Linked DNA regions of Canis lupus familiaris. Each later gene encodes a partner of the first gene's protein in a complex. Links are inferred from orthologs where the notes say so. Each region holds a gene or a part of one and is shown on either strand. Other genes may lie near its edges.

What was found.
Region 2: CELF1 (region 1) and CALR share a complex: the UniProt entries of both Homo sapiens proteins name them as parts of the EIF2 complex. The link is inferred for Canis lupus familiaris from reciprocal best matches to the Homo sapiens genes CELF1 and CALR.
Region 3: CELF1 (region 1) and CALR3 share a complex: the UniProt entries of both Homo sapiens proteins name them as parts of the EIF2 complex. The link is inferred for Canis lupus familiaris from reciprocal best matches to the Homo sapiens genes CELF1 and CALR3.

The regions. Positions count from the first base shown.
Region 1 is NC_049239.1:42,598,008-42,602,925, reverse strand, and holds part of CELF1 (CUGBP Elav-like family member 1), read right to left. Parts: intron 3,203-4,918; coding exon 3,127-3,202; intron 1,623-3,126; coding exon 1,494-1,622; intron 1,132-1,493; coding exon 1,021-1,131; intron 90-1,020; coding exon 1-89. UniProt on the Homo sapiens protein: RNA-binding protein implicated in the regulation of several post-transcriptional events. Involved in pre-mRNA alternative splicing, mRNA translation and stability.
Region 2 is NC_049241.1:49,648,872-49,654,412, forward strand, and holds the start of CALR (calreticulin), read right to left. Parts: upstream 3,492-5,541; 5' UTR 3,410-3,491; coding exon 3,319-3,409; intron 2,955-3,318; coding exon 2,853-2,954; intron 2,674-2,852; coding exon 2,470-2,673; intron 2,047-2,469; coding exon 1,952-2,046; intron 1,862-1,951; coding exon 1,652-1,861; intron 1,573-1,651; coding exon 1,459-1,572; intron 1,370-1,458; coding exon 1,226-1,369; intron 555-1,225; coding exon 462-554; intron 376-461; coding exon 175-375; 3' UTR 1-174. UniProt on the Homo sapiens protein: Calcium-binding chaperone that promotes folding, oligomeric assembly and quality control in the endoplasmic reticulum (ER) via the calreticulin/calnexin cycle.
Region 3 is NC_049241.1:46,446,158-46,451,570, reverse strand, and holds the start of CALR3 (calreticulin-3), read right to left. Parts: upstream 3,492-5,413; 5' UTR 3,337-3,491; coding exon 3,246-3,336; exon of another isoform or gene 3,209-3,245; intron 3,007-3,208; coding exon 2,905-3,006; exon of another isoform or gene 2,836-2,904; coding exon of another isoform or gene 2,820-2,835; intron 651-2,819; coding exon 447-650; intron 1-446. UniProt on the Homo sapiens protein: During spermatogenesis, may act as a lectin-independent chaperone for specific client proteins such as ADAM3. Required for sperm fertility. CALR3 capacity for calcium-binding may be absent or much lower than that of CALR.

The sequences.
Region 1 (4,918 bases):
CGAGTAGGCCTGCGTGAGTGCCTCCATGGTGCTTCCGGTGCCGTTGGAAAGGCCACTGCTGCCCAGGCCACCATTTAAAGCAGCCATCCCTTGGTTGTGGGGAAGAACAGGATTAACATATTAGGAAGACTCGACTGATACCAAAAATGAACTACAAAATTCTCCCTTATCTCTCTCTCTGTTTCTCCCTGAGGAGGAATACCAATCAGGTCAGCTCTAGGACACTCCCCAGGCCTTGTCATTCATGGACACATTAAAAAATGCCACACCCAGGTGTGGCTCTCCCCATTACCTTTTCCCAACCCATCCAAGGACTAGTATCATTTAAACATGACCTGCTCCGGGCAGCCCGGGTGGCTCAGTGGCTTAGCGTCCCTTGAGTCCCGGGTGTGGTCCTGGAGACCTGGGATCGAGTCCCACATCAGGCTCCCTGCATGGAATGGAGCCTGCTTCTCCCTCTGCCTGTGTCTGTGCCTCTGTGTGTGTGTGTCTCTCATGAATAAATAAATAAAATTTAAAATAAATAGAAAATAAAAATAAACATGACCTGCTCCATTTTCTCTACGGCTTTTCGGCCACTTTCTCACAGAGTTGGAATGTGGTAAAATAAGCGTTTCAGGTTTGGGTACTGAAAGGGGTGAGTGTGTGGTCTAGGACAAGAGGTGGGTAAACCTTATTGTCAAAATAGCAGCTAATATTTACTTAAACACATTACATGCCTGACACTGTACTAAGCCATGTGCTCAGCACTTTACCTATGATTTCATTTACTTAACAACCCTTGAAGTGTTCTATGCCCACTTTGTGGATGAGAAAATGACCTTAGAAAGGTGGTTATCATATGTTACAGCTAGTTAAGGGGCGAAAGTGGGATTTAACTCAGGCCTGACTCGAAATCCCATGATTATTTCTAACTTTATAGGGCCACCATGTTCATTCTAATGGTGACCTACTGTGGTTGTTTAAAATATGCTCCCTACACAAAGAATGGCCTGATGACATCCAGGGGCTGTCCCTCACCTGCCAAAGAGCTGACGTTGAGGCCTGCTGTTGCTCCAGCTAATGTCTGCAGGGCTCCAAGGGAGGCTATGGGGTTGACAGAACTGCTGCTGCTGGAGCTCGGTGAGGACCCTGTGATCAGAAACCTGGGTGTTAAACTCAAGGCAACATTTGCTTCTCGTGTCAAAAGGAACCAAAGCATAAGAGTGATACTACTCAAGCGTTCTCTTCATAAAGAGGTTTTCAGTTACTGATTCCGAGAACTGTCGCTGTATAAAGTCAAATGACAGTTACAACAAACTAAATATTATGAAATTTCTCTTCTCCTAAGAAAGAAATTTCACCTCTTCTAAGAAGAGGACACTGGAACATTAATTGTTCATAATCTGACCCCTTTGGAAATGGATGTTAACCACTCTCCAAAATGAAAGACCTCTTTCTTGAGATTCTGTCCAAGGCACACAAGGGCACGTTGGTTCCAATGACACACTTACCTGAACTGGTGAGTACGCTGAGGGGACTGCTGGATGTAGTGAGAGCATTGGTACCACTTGGTGTGTTCTGAGCTGCACTAGCTGCAGCAGCTAGAGCAGCCAAATTCTGTAACTGCATTGCATTTAACCCTGCAACATCCAAAGCAAGAGATCAGCCAGGACATAAGGGTTCTTTATATCCCTTCCAGCAATGACAGACACATTGGTGAAGGCTGGTCCCAAAGAGGAACTATTCTAGATAAGCCTTACAAGCAACACTACAAGACTCTAAAAAGATTCAGATACCACTCAAACACATTAAGAAACTTGACATCATTTCTTCAAGAGAAGAGATATCTACTCCAATAGCATGTCACCCCAAGTGAATATTTATAACAAGGCCTGGCAATTAGGAAATCAAGAGAGGGTAAGGTCTGTGGTCTACCACAAAGCCAGGTGTCCAAGAGAACAACAAACGACAAAATTTGTCGCACAAAATGGGACTGCATCTTAGCCCCTTCCTCCTATTTTATAGAGGATTTGCTCTTTCCAATGGGGGTACACAGGCAGAAGATGCAGCAGGATCCAGGTGGCCGGGGGGGCGGGGAGGGTAATGAGAGGGGAGGATGCACGCAAGAAAAGCAACAGGAGAAAGACTAAAGAAAAACCACTACTTGAATATCAGATTACTCATCAGAAGGAGGAGAAAAACACTGAGGGGAAAAACCTCCAAGTAGAACCCAAGCAACAGTTAAAAGGAGCAAGAAATCTGAACTGCACTGACAGTGTGTTCCAAATAATTTTCTAGATGATGGAAAAGCAGATGGGTGGTGGTGGTTGGAGGGAGAGTTAGTGAGAATAAAAACTAAACTACAACACAGATTTATAATCTAGCAAATTTTCAAAAACACAGCAAACTCCAAGTCCCTGAGACAAAGTGAACCACTATAAAAATTTTTCAAACAGTAAAATGCAGTTCACCTAAGATGACCCCTTTCTCAGATGCACTTGCTGAGCCTTAATCCACTGCAGAAGAGGTAGGGGCAGGGGCTCTGGAAAAGCTCTACTCCACTAACTTGTCTGATGGCCCCACCATCAAGTTTGCCTATGGAACCCCATTTTGTCATAAACTCAGGCATGTGTCAATTAAGTTTTCCATATTTTTAACCATTGCTGTTAACAGCAACAAAAGGCAAATCACCTAAGAAATAACAGGTATTAAGACAAAGAAGTAAACTGTCTAGGTTCTAGTAGTTTCTGGGTAAGCCATTTGCATGGATGCCTTCTAAGGCTTCTCAAAGTCACTGAAAAGTCACTTTATTGTGGAAACAAAGTTCCTGCAATTTTCTCCTTATAAAAATGGCCTCAGATAAGTCTACTCATGCTAACAGTTCTTTTCCATCTCCCTCCTCAACAGACTTAAGGGGGTGAGGAGCATCAGAAAACCCCAGGGCAATCTTAACATCAGCAACTAAAAGAGCCACCTTCCAGAGAAAAGGAAGTTGAGTCCTGGGATGTTCACCTTACATTAGGTTTATGTAATGAGTGGGTAAACATCTGTTTTCTGTACAAACGGTGCAAAACTCTCAGACTGTTGTTAGCTGGGTCTGGTGGCCTGGTTGCTGCTGCTCCTCCACAGCAGTGAAACACTTACCTCCCATTGGGTGGAGGCTGCTCAGGGTGTTGAGGTTCCCAGAGGAGGCAGTCTGCTGAAGGAGCTGCAAATAAAGCTAGACATTACACCAAAAAACAGAACAAGAGTGAGAGTGAGGGCTGGTTCTGCATCTGGGATAACTCTACAGCACAGCAAAGCGAGAGTGCAGAGGCCCCCAGAGAGAAGAAAGTTGAAGACAAGAACCCAAGCCAACACAATAAAAACATGAGGCTTTATGACAGCACAGGACAATACAACACAGCTAAAGCCCTGGCCCAGACAGATACGTTCACTGAGTATTGAGCCAAGCCCAAGTCCCTGGGCAACAGAAGGCAGCACAGCAGAGGACAGAAGGAGAGCAAAGAACTAAGCTCGACTCAAGCAGCTTTGCAATCCACTGCAATGAGAGTCTGCACATGGATGACTGCCACTGCTAGTTCCTCTCTTCGAAGTTCTCCTTAGTTCAGGCCACATATCTTATTTGGCAGACTGTTTCCATCTAGATATCCAATTTCTACTTCACACAACTATTTTAATTATCAAATCTAACCATTTCAGGGTATTTCTTGAAGTCATTCTTTCCTGGGCACAAAAGACTCATGACTAATCAGCTTCTCCATACTCTCCAACATCCACCCAGCCCCATTTATCTCCTCCCCACCAAATTGGTCTCCAACTATTGCAGATGACCAAATGATTGACAGACTGAGAGATCAGTTCAATGTATATTCTTTCAATGGTTATTCCTTAACAAAATAAGAGGGCCTGTCGATAAGCTTATGGATCTACATGACCTCATTCACTATCTTAGCCAACAGCAAATTTCATCTAACAAACCAGCTGAAAACCTTTGCTCCATTCAAAGCCAATCACTTTTCCTTATGGACAACTGGTATTCTTGTTTCTGGATCTTTTATTCAAACCTGCTTATTCCCATAAACATCTGACCTCCCTCCTCTGTCATCATGCAACCCTTTAGTTCATACAGGTTTCAGAAGGTCCACAAACCTTCAGATACAGAATGAAAAAAAGGGTACACGCAAAATTTTTATCAGATTCTCAGAGGCGTCGACACCCCACAAAGATTAAGAACCACTGCTCTAGTCCAAAAGAGATCAGGTTCAAGTCTACCTATTCCAGAAAGAACCTTACAATTAATGATAACGTATTATCATTTATACATCCACGTCTTTGTCTTAAATACCTCAGGCAATGTGCTCAATTCCAACTGGTGGACCATACATACTATACTTGGCACTTTCATTTCCTCCCTAAATGAGAACAGCTCTGAGGGCAGGGATCATGCCTAACTAAAACAGAGACCACAGTTCTCAACAAATACCATCATGCACTGTTCAATGTGGCAATGGCAATAAAAAGGGGAGTCTTCCCTAAAAAGAGCTCCAAACTCTCTAAGAAGAGCAAATGTATAATCATGGAGACCATTTTCAACATATTATCATTTTGGCAAAAGACTGAATAAAATCTCTCTGAATTTTCTGAACTTATAAGCAATGTGCTATCACTAAGAAGCAATTTAATCTGTTGAGATATACCAACCATCTACACTTTTTGACTTCAGAGAAATACTGGCTGGAAAATTGGGATTTCTTCTAACGTTTTAGAAATATGAAAACCATATTTGGCATCAAATTAGCCAAACTCAGTACTGGGGGATAGAAATCATTGCCTTTCTTTTGTTTCTATAGAAAACAATGTTTTAAAGGATGAAGAGTGAAAGACTATAATTGTGTGTATATATTTTTGGAACTATCCATACAAATCTACTGGT
Region 2 (5,541 bases), on another chromosome or scaffold:
AAAAAAAAAAAAAAAAAAAAAGGGAGGAAACAAAACCAAAATCCACCCCAAATCAGAACCCGCCTGGAAAAAAATGAAAGTTCTCCAGTCTCATAGAGACATTATTTGGCGCAGCCGGCTCTGCGGCGGGAGCGCTCAGGCCTCAGTCCAGCCCTAGAGGCAGCAGTGTAGCCCCTACAGCTCGTCCTTGGCCTGGCCAGCGGCAGCATCATCCTCTTCCTCTTCCTCCTTGTCATCCTCGTCCTCCTCATCCTCGTCCTTGTCTTCCTCATCTTCCTTGTCTGCCTCCTCTTCTTCCTTGCGCTTCTTGTCCTCCTCCTCCTCCTTTAGCCTCTGCTCCTCATCCTGCTTGTCCTTCATCTGCTTCTCTGCCGCCTGCACAGAAACCACACAGCTCAGGGCCCGGCCCCCCGCCACCAGACCTGCCCACTCCCAAGCCCAGGACCAGACCCTGGTCCCACCTTCGTGACACCCCAGGTCTCATTTCCAAACTCCTCTGCATACGCCTCGTCGTTGGTGATGAGGAAGTTGTCAAAGATAGTGCCAGACTTGACCTGGAGGACAGGAGAGTGGATGGAGGGTGGTCAGGGTGGACACTAATGTCCCTGGCCTTGGACAAGCCCCACCCCCTCCATGTTCCCATGACAACTACACAATGCCCTTTGATTTCTACATCTGTAAAACAGGATCTCTCAATATCTTGTTCAAATGTTTTTCTGGTACCTACTACATGCCAGACACCATTCCAGACACAGATTGTTTACTAGTGAATAAAACTGACAAAATTTTAAAACATTTCATTTCAGAGGAACCATTTTTTTCTAGTAGTCACATTTATTATTTACTTTTTTTTTTTTTCCAGTAAGCTCTACTCCCAACGTGGGGCTTGAACTCATGCCTGTGAGATCAAGTGTTGCATGTTCTACCAAGTAAGTCAGACAGATAATCTCATTAGAAAAATAGTGCCAGGGGTATCTAACCAACTTCTAACTGTTGAAGGCAGTTAAAAAGTTTGTTTGCATAAAGGAACTTAGAAAGGTATCTGGCACGTAAGCTGAACCTCAAATTGGGTGCCGTGAGAACTCCATAAAGACAGACCAGAATATTATTCAAGAAAAGCACCAGTTTTGGCTCAGAGCTGCCTGGGGTTGAACATTTATCATCCCTTTCCTCCTTAGTGACTCTCAACATTTGAAGTGCTCCATGAATCCCTTCTGTGTCTCACCTGCCAGAGATCTAAGCCCAGAACAGCAAAGTTTTCATAGGCATAGATGTTGCTATCAGGAGAGTACTCAGGGTTGTCGATCTCTGGGTGGATCCAAGTGCCCTTGTAATCTGGGTTGTCAATCTGCCGGGGCTTCCACTCGCCCTGCAGAAGGGGAAGGGAACCAGTGGTTGAGTGGAGGTCAGTGTGCTCCCCACTGTGCGCTCCCACCCTGCTCAGAGCTCCAAGCTCACCTTGTACTCAGGGTTCTGAATTACAGGTGGTTCCCACTCTCCATCCATCTCTTCATCCCAGTCCTCTGGCTTTTTAGCATCAGGGTCAGGAATGTGCTCAGGCTTGTCCCAGTCCTGAGGGAACACAAAAAGGTCAGTCAACCCAGCTGTCCTCTACACCTTCCACATGGGGAGCTTCTGCCCAAGCACCAACCTCAGGCTTGGAGTCTGTGGGGTCATCAATCTTGGCCCGCTCGTCCCAGTCTTCAGGCTTTGAAGCATCAGGATCCTTTATCTTCTTGGGAGGCAGGAAGTCCCAATCATCCTCCAAGGAGCCTGACTCCACCTGGCTGTTGTCAATCTTCACCTCATAGGTGTTATCCGGCCGCACAATCAGCGTATACAGGTGTGTGAATTCATCATCCTGAAGAGGGTGGGAGATGAATGGCCCCGCCCATCAGGCTTGGCCTCTGAGGCTTCCCTATCAGCCACTTGTCACCACCCCCAGTCACACCTTGCAACGAATGTCCTTGTTGATCAGGACGTTCTTGCCCTTGTAGTTGAAGATGACATGAACCTTCTTGGTGCCGGGGCCACAGATATCCGGGCCTAGGTAAAAAGTGGGTTTAGTTAGAGCAAGAAACTGCCCACCACTGTAAAGCTCCCAACCTTTACAAAAGAAGGCTTGGTTCTTAAATGCAGATCTGTAAAGGGTTACAGGACAAGAATCATACCCTGACTGGTTCTAAGGAGCTGAAAGTGGAGCCTTTTAAAAAGGAAAAACAGAAAGAACAAAATATCACCTCTGGAATTTAATGCCCTCACTGGAAATAGCTACAGAAAATCCCGTGAACTGCAAGTTTCAGACCAATAGTAACAATGCAATGTCCTCAGCCTTCCTCGCAAAGACAAGCCTTAACTACACAAGTATCTTCCCATGTTCTCAACACTACCTGTGGTGGCCCTTAAGGAACCCAGATTTAGGTCTCCTTCCAACTAATCAAAGGTCAGCGCCAGGGCGGGGTCCCTCACCAAACATGATGTTGTACTCAGAGTCTCCGTGCATGTCCGTCTGGTCCAAACCATCTGGAAATAGCTTCACGTAGCCGCCCCCACAGTCGATGTTTTGCTCATGTTTTACGGTGAACTGCACCACCAGTGTCTGGCCTTTGTTGCTGAAGGGCTCAAATCTGGCCGACAAAGCGTAAAAGCGGGCATCCTGGCTTGTCTGCAGCCCTAGCAGGAGACCATAGTGAGGTCATGGCTCAGCCCCAAGCTCCAAGGACCCTAAGCACTGGAGTCAAAGAAGACTGCCCCTTCCTCCTGCTCATGGGGATACCCACGCTGTGTGACATGCACGGCTTCCTCCAGGAAGTCCTCCTGAATCCCAACATCCACCCGTCCCAGGCTCTTACCTTTATCCTTCTCCTGGTCACCGTAGAACTTGCCGGAACTGAGAACAAATTTACCAAAATCTGACTTGTGTTTGGATTCGATCCAGCGGTCGGTCCACCCGTCTAGGGGATCAAAGGGGCAGGTCAGTGCGGCCGTACTGACCTCTCCCCACGAATAGCTATCTGCCAATGGCCTCAAGTTGCTGAAGACTGGAAAGGAGATATCCCCTGACTGACCCCACCCCAACCTCTAGTTTGACATCTTCGATGACTTAAGGGCTCCTCCGGCGAACCCTAACTCCCGCCGCGGGAGTCCGCTGTACCCTCGACGCTCCCCAGGGACATGGAAGGAAGGATCGCCTGCGGCTCTGGTCCCTGGAGGCCACCGTATTGGTCCTCTAAGCAGTAATTACAGGGGACAACGCAGATCTAGGCTGAGGGGCCGCCCTCGTCGTCGGGGCGGCCTCGAGACCGGACCAGGCCTTACCTCCGTCCAGAAACTGCTCCTTGAAGTAGATGGCGGGTTCGGCAGCGGCCAGGCCGACGAGGCCGAGCAGCAGCGGTACGGGTAGCAGCATGGCGGGGCGAGGGGGCGGCGGCGCGCGGGCCCTTTAAACCTCTCCTCCGGCGGCGGCTCTGCAGTAGGGACGGACGCTACCGCCGGCCGCGCGTTTTTATACCCTACCGCCCCTCAAACCAACCTGGCCCGGCCTCTTGTCCCGCCCTCCGCACCTTATCATTGGTCTGCGGCCACGACCCTGACTTTCCATTGGACCGCTGTCGTCTGAGCATGTTAGGCTGTGCCTCGGAACGCAGGGTTCCCAGATGGCCGATTTCTATTGGCTACACAGCTGGCCAATGAAGGTCGACCACGCGTTGTGGGGGCCGCCCACCGGTGTGGTGGGGGCCTCGAGCCCCTCTGCCCAGGTCATGTGACCAGACCTCGACCCAACCCCGCCCTTGCCCGCGCGCTTAGCTCCTGGTCTGGGCGTTTAAAGAACGCGCGCCAGTGCCCGTGTCACCTCGCAGGACCTGGACCCCGCTCCAGCTCGCCCTCTTTTATCCCCTCTGCGAGGAGGTGTGGGCCAGGTTTTCCTAACCACTTTCTACTCTGCAGCTGGGGAGCCCCTATTCCCACACGCTCGCTCTCGATCTCGCCCTCCCCCGCCCCAGGCCAGGATGGGACAGAAGGCACCAGAATTCAGGGGCTGGGGCTCTGGATCTTCATTTCACTCCAGAGCCACAGCCTTGCAGGCCAGAGAGTTCAGTGCCAGCTCTCTCCTCTCTGGCCCCTAGTGGTCCCTAGTGCCCTGACAGCCTGTCAGACTGCTGTTGAGTGACTGGGACGAGTCACTTAGCCTCTGAAATCACAGGAGCCCCGAAGAGGCTAGGAGGAGCATCCTTGGCTAGGTGCCGTTCTACAGAGCCGCTTTCAAAACTGTTAGGGTTGTCCTGGGACAGAAGAAAGGAAACCTAGAAGACAAAGATGTGACTATAGGCTGTGGCTCCTAGAGTTTGGTAGCGTTGTTTGTCTGATTGCAGCCTCTCCTTTAAACCTTCCCTCAGCCGGTAAAGGGGTCGCTGCCTGTGGTCTCCCACAAACGGCCTGACTTTTGCAATTAAACGGCTAAAGAGGAGAGGAGGGGGGTTCCGTTAAAAAAGAAAAAAATGAGACAGATGGTGGGGAAGATAAGGTCCGAGGGAGATGGGCAGGACCCCTGAGTCTAGACGCTCAGAAGCCAGAGGCACGTGACTGACACCATGTCCCTCCCCCCAAGCTGCAGGAAGCAGGAAGGCGCTCTGGGGGTTTCCCAAACTCTAAGCAAACAGGCCCTGGACCTGGGAACTTGGAAGTGGACTGGGGAAGGGGGTGGAATCCTGGCAAAAAAGCAGGGAAGGCGTGCTTCCCTGATAGTGGTGGAGACTCAGAAAAGAGAAGAATGAGGAGTCTTGGAGAAGTTGGGGTTCTGCCCCAGGCAGTATCCAGTATCACTCAACCTGCATGAGGAGCCAATCTGGGGTGATCACTCCAAGCCTGCCACTGACCCTCCCACCTTCCCTCCCTTCCACCATATGTCATGCATGCATGAGCTTGGTGCTTCCTGCTTGAGGGTAGACCCTGTGACTACCTTATTCACTTCATCCCTCAGTGTCTCTTGAAGCACTTGGCACAGAACAGGCTTAAAACCTGCTGTGTGAGAGAAAGAAGGAAATTGGAGCAATTAAACAAAAAACGAGGAAAGTGCTTCAAAGCTAAGAAGGGACTTTGAGGGACACATCCTGAATTTTTGTTAGGACCTCACTATGGGGTCAGGATTGGGTGATGTTAGTAACCCCATTTTCCAGCCTCACATAATAATTATGATGGTTAAATGAGTAAAGATGTTCTGCTTACAATAGTGCTTGTCACATGGTCCATACTCAATTTAGTATTAGCAAGTACACATACATGTGTGGGCAGTATTTCGCTTAAATCTCACAATAACCTGAATTTATATCATCTCTATCCAGGCAAGGAAACAGGCACAGAAAGCTTAAGCGACTTGGCTGAGTAGCATAAATGGGATTAGAATCTACTTGCACTGTTTCCTCTAATCTCCACTGGCCACCTGTGACTATTGACCAAAGGTAGCTGGTCTCAATTGAGATGTGCCATAAGTGTAAAACACAACAGATTTTGAGACTTACTATGAAAAAAGAACAAAGTATT
Region 3 (5,413 bases), on another chromosome or scaffold:
AGTTGGTTAAGTGGCCAACTCCTGATTTTGGCTCAGATCATGGTCTTAGGGTTACACATCCTGGGACTGAGTTACATATCCAGCTCTGCACTCAACAAGGAGTCTGCTTCAGGATTCCCTCTCTCACTTTTCCCCTCTCCCCCACTCACTCTCTCTCTAAAAAAAAAAAAATTATATATATATATATATAAATATAAATATATATGAATATATAAAAATATTTATATATATGTAAATATATATAAATATATGTATAAATCTTTAAATATATATATATTTAAAGAAAGTACAACAGAATGGCACAGTTGCCTTTTTATATTAGTTTAAAAACCTTTGGTTGGATATATCCGATACTACTACTTCGGTAAAGTCTTAGTCTGAGGATTCTATGAAGTGGAAGGATTCAAAGTCACCAGAAATGGTGGTTTTGTACTATCTAAACTCACCAAACATAATATAGTACTGGGATTTTCCATTCAGGTTCTTCTGATCCACATCTGCAGGGAAGACCTTAATGTAGCCTCCTCCACAGTCCATCTTCTGCTCATGTTTCACCGTATACTGAATGACCAGAGTCTTCCCTTTATTGCTAAATGGTTTGAATCGTGCAGAGATGGCATAGAATCGGCCATTTTGAGTGGTTTGCAGACCTTTAAACAAAAAATACTCATGAAAGATTAGGAATGACACTGTGCTCAGTTCTACAGGGAATTAAATAGTGGTCCTCCCATCCCCAATAATAATAATTTATGTTAATTCAGAGCCTCAAAACGCATTTTTACAATAAAACATGATGGACATACCACTAACAGCCTCTCTGCTGCCACAGAACTTTCCACACACAGTTGTTTTTTTGCTTGGTATACCACTGTCATGTCTCAAATTACAAAAACACTTCAGCTTTAAATGATAAATATGGAACCTAATTATGGATAAGAAGTGAATTTTGTTTCGATTCATCTTCCAAAGGGAGGGAATATACATTAAGGCTTATGTAGCAACTCAATTAAGAAACAGAGCATCCTACATCTTTTCTTTAAATTGCATCTTGAAATAGTTGCTTCAGATATACCACAGTGAATGGAGGACAGAGTGCTGACCTGCAAAAATGTACTTCACTACACGGGATGCACTGGCCTGTAGCTGCCCTCTTTTTACAAAGATACCACCCTGTTGTCACATGAATCATCTCATATTTTATAAGTTAAGGTGTTCACTTCAAGACTAAACCCTTCTTTTTTCAGTAGCCACCAGGCTCTGTACCAAATCCTTATTTTATACTGGAGTAGAAGATAGACTTGAAAATAGATCCAGTCTTACTAGAATCTAGTCTTCCTTGCTCCACATTCCTGCCCCCATACCTGCCAATGCTGAGATCCATCATAAATGCACTTGGTATTTTCATTTTCTATCAATATGTCCAAGCCTGAACTCATAGCTGACTACCCACTACTACACTCATCTCTCTCTCATTCTCCCCCTCCCATCCTTCCTTTCTCAAATAATTCATAGGTTCACCCCCTTCTCTACCACCTTACCATCTAGGCAATTCCTAAGGCCAAGATTCACCACTTTCCTCTCTCTCACCACCCTCCTCAACCATCCCCAACATCTCTCACCACTTCCCATCTCTGTCGGAGTAAATTCTATTCATCTTTCCATCTACCACTTCTGTGTAATGGCCCTGGGAGACCACAATGAAAGGGGCCAAATTAATTGGTATCCCCAGTGTCTTGCTCTTGTGCTCTCTTAGTAGATGTGTGCTGGAGTGAATGAAACACAGAATCTCGGGATTCCAGATTGGAAGAAGAAAAAACATTGTGAGGGAAAACCCCAAATGACTAAGTGGAAACCCCATCCTTGGACAAGCTTGATGGAACAATCTGTTAATTTCACTCCATTTTTGTACTATGGGGTGAATTTTGACCAACTCTTTGGTCAACATGTAACTTAGAAAACAATGTACATTCAACAGAAAACCGGAAGCTGCCATGAAGACAACCCTGGAGTAATAGCCAAGGTAGAGGCTGAGTGGGAGGTTGGTGAAAAGTGAAACTTTCCATCTAAATCAGGGGTCTGCAAACCTTTTTTTATAAAGTCAGAGAACAAATATTTTAGACTTTGTGGGCCATATGGTCTCTGCCCCAACTTGCTGCCTTGGGGCAGGAAAAAACCCATAGCTCTATGTAAATAAATGGCCATGGCTGTGTTCCATTAAAACTTTGTTTATGGACCCTGAAATTTCATATATTTATTGAATTTTATGTAATCTCTGCATGTCATAAAATACTATGTCATATCCCCCTTTTTACTTTCCCCCAACAACTAAAAAATGTAAAAATCATTCTTATCTCACCAGCTCTGTGCGAGTAGGTGGCAAACGAGTTGCGCTTTGTCCACTTTTTACCATCAGGAATGAGAAGAAGACAGAAGTCATCCTTGGCACCGGGATGACTTGGGGAGACGGGGGTGTGTGCACAAGGGGGACTTCTGAAAATGTTCCCTATCTTGAGCAGAGCGTACATATATAAACCTTTCTGTACCCATAAGATCTATGCACCTGAAAGCACATACCTTTTAACCACACTTTTCTTCTTCGTAAAGTAAAAACAAAAATGAGAAGTATCCCCTGACCTTTTTCCCTTTGCAGGTCAAAGACCTGGGGTCTCTAAACTCATGCGACCAATTTCGTGTACAATGAGGCGATCTTGGGCAAGTAAAGAAAGGAAAGAGGAAAAGTAATGCCAGACCCTATGCAAGCCTTAGTTTCCCCAGTGGTGAACGGGCTGTAAGAGGTGTTAGGAGTGTGCCACACCTACCTTGAAAGGTTGGCATAGTGGTGGTGGTGGTGGTGTGTGTGTGTGAGTGCACTTAGCTCGATTTTCTCACCATTCCTGCACTGACCTTTATCTTTCTCTTTATGACCATAAAATTTCCCGGACGAGAGTCTAAAATGACCAATTTGAGAGTCATTGGTGGACTGCACCCATCGGTTCCTCCAGTGCTCTATGGGGGAAAACAACACCGGTTAGGGCTGAGGCTCCTTATTGGAGTCAGGGAGGGTGTATGTGTTGCGGGGGGAGGGGAGGAGAAGGAGGCTCCAGGCTTCGAACCTTCGAAGTTTCGAAGCTTCAAGGCTTCGCCACCACAGACCTCGCGGTGGTGGATCGGGGCCAGCGGGGACTCGGGCTATGGGCTGGTGAGCTTACACCCCCACTCCACCACCAAGGGGGTCGCCTCTTCACCTCCGTCTAGAAATTCCTCTTGGAAGTAGACGGTGGCCAGGGCCACCCGCAGCATGCACACCGCCCAAAGCGGAACGTGAACCAAAGCCATGGAAGGCACGTGGCACTTCTCGTAACCGCCCCTTTGCTACCAGCTGTCTCCCAGGCGTGCCCGCCGTCCCAGAACTACAACTCCCGTCACGCCTCGCGATTGTGATCTGAGGCAAGCATTGGCCCCCCAGCGCGCAGTGCACGTCGGGTCCGCCCCGGTACTACAACTCCCATGATGCTCCGCGATTATGACCTGGGGGCGGAGTGGTGGCGCCCATTGATCCTCAGAGCGCAGCGCGCGCCGGGATATGTAGTCTCTTCCGCCCTGGCGCTGTTGCCCGGGGCAACGGTCCCATCTGGCCAGAGTGGCCGGAAACCCGGCGGCGGCCTCTGCGGATGGACGTCGTGGGAGGAGGTTGGAAGGCTTGGCTGGGCTGCTCGAGGCTTGGCGCCCAGAATCGGGAGAGGAGTTGCGGGAGCAGGGGAGCGTCCTGCAGCTGGGCCGGGAGGGAGGCTGGAGGGCGGCCCGGCGCCTCGCGCCTGTTTCCCCTCGCGGCCCGCCTGGCAGCGTGGTCGGGGGTGGGAGCTCCGGGAGCTGGGAAGAGCCCGATGGTCTGAGGGGCGCCGGGGTTTCCAAAGTTGGCTTTATTTATTTTTTGCAACTTTATTGAGGATTCGTTGGCGTACCGTGCAATTTACCCCGCTTGAGCATATAACTCAGGTACTCGTATTGACTAAGTTTGCCGAGTAGTGCGGCCGTCGCCGCGAGCCGGCTGTTGGGCTTTACCGCCGCCCCACGGGGGCCCCTCCTGGCCCTTTGCGGTCCCTGCTCGCTCCCACCCCGCGCGACCCCCGCGGTGCCCTGCGGCCCTACGGCTCTGCCTTCTCTGCTTGGGATCCTGTGTGCTCTCTCTCTATTTTTTCCCCCTTAGCATGATGTGTCGTCTGAGACGCACGGATGCTGGTGTGTGTGTGTGTGTGTGTGTGTGTGCGCGTGTGCGCATTTGTTCTCTTGTTGCTGGCTGGTGTTTCGTATGGATGGACCTCAGCTCTCCTCCATTCACTAGTTAATGGACCTTTGCGCTGTCTCCACTTCTTGTCTACTACCAGTGCTACTAGGAATATTGGCGTACGTCTCCATCATCTTGGGAACCGCCGACAGTTTTCCAAACTGGCCTGCTTACCGTTTTCCAATCCCCCGTGACAGTGTATGAGCCAATTTCTTCACATCCTCGCCCACATTTGTTCTCTGTAGTTTGGATTATAGGCATTCCAGTGGCTGTGAAGGGAGACCTGGTGGTTTTCGATTTGCGTTTGCCCAGTGGCTAGTGACGTTGAATGTCTTTTGCATGTGTTTGTTGGCCATTCGTATGTTTGTTTGTTTGTTTTCAGTATCTGTTCATATCATTTGCCCATTGGTTTATTTTTAATTGGGTGTTTTAAAAATGTATCTGTTTTAGTTGAGGTAAAATGGACCGAACGCAAAATTTGCCATTTTAACCATTATTGATTTATTTTTAAACCTAGGGGAACTTTCAGAAGAACTAGATGTGGGGGAAACCCGGCCTGGTGATCAGGCTTTCCCTCTGACCCACAGGATGGCGGGGACCAAGTCCTCTCCTGAGCCTCAGTTACAAAAATATTAATAAAGGTAGCTGTCGATGTGCCAGTGGTCTCCACTTCCCCTTTACTGGGTGGTTCCAGCTCAAAGCTCAGTTAATGCAGGTATTCTAAACGTTACTTTGTAAATCTTACTATTTATTCCATGCCCTACAATGAACATAGGAATTCCGTGAGGGTGATAGTTACTACCACCGGTTTACAGATGAGCAAGCTGAAGCACAGAGTGGTCAAGTAACTTGCCCAGTATCACTCAGGCTAGGAATTCTGCACTGTTTCTGTCGGGTATGGTTTTGTATTCACTGACCCCTGGGGTCAGGCCTGTGTTAAGCATTGTTAGTACCCTGGGCAGTCCTTAATACCCAAGTGATTAAGATGAGGATAAGCAGGCAAGCACACCACGCAGAATGTGAAACAGAGTGAGAGAAAAATAATTCACTCTTTTTTTTTTTATTTAAGATTTTGGTTATTTATTCATGAAAGGCACAGAGAGAGAGAGGCAGAGACACAGGCAGAGA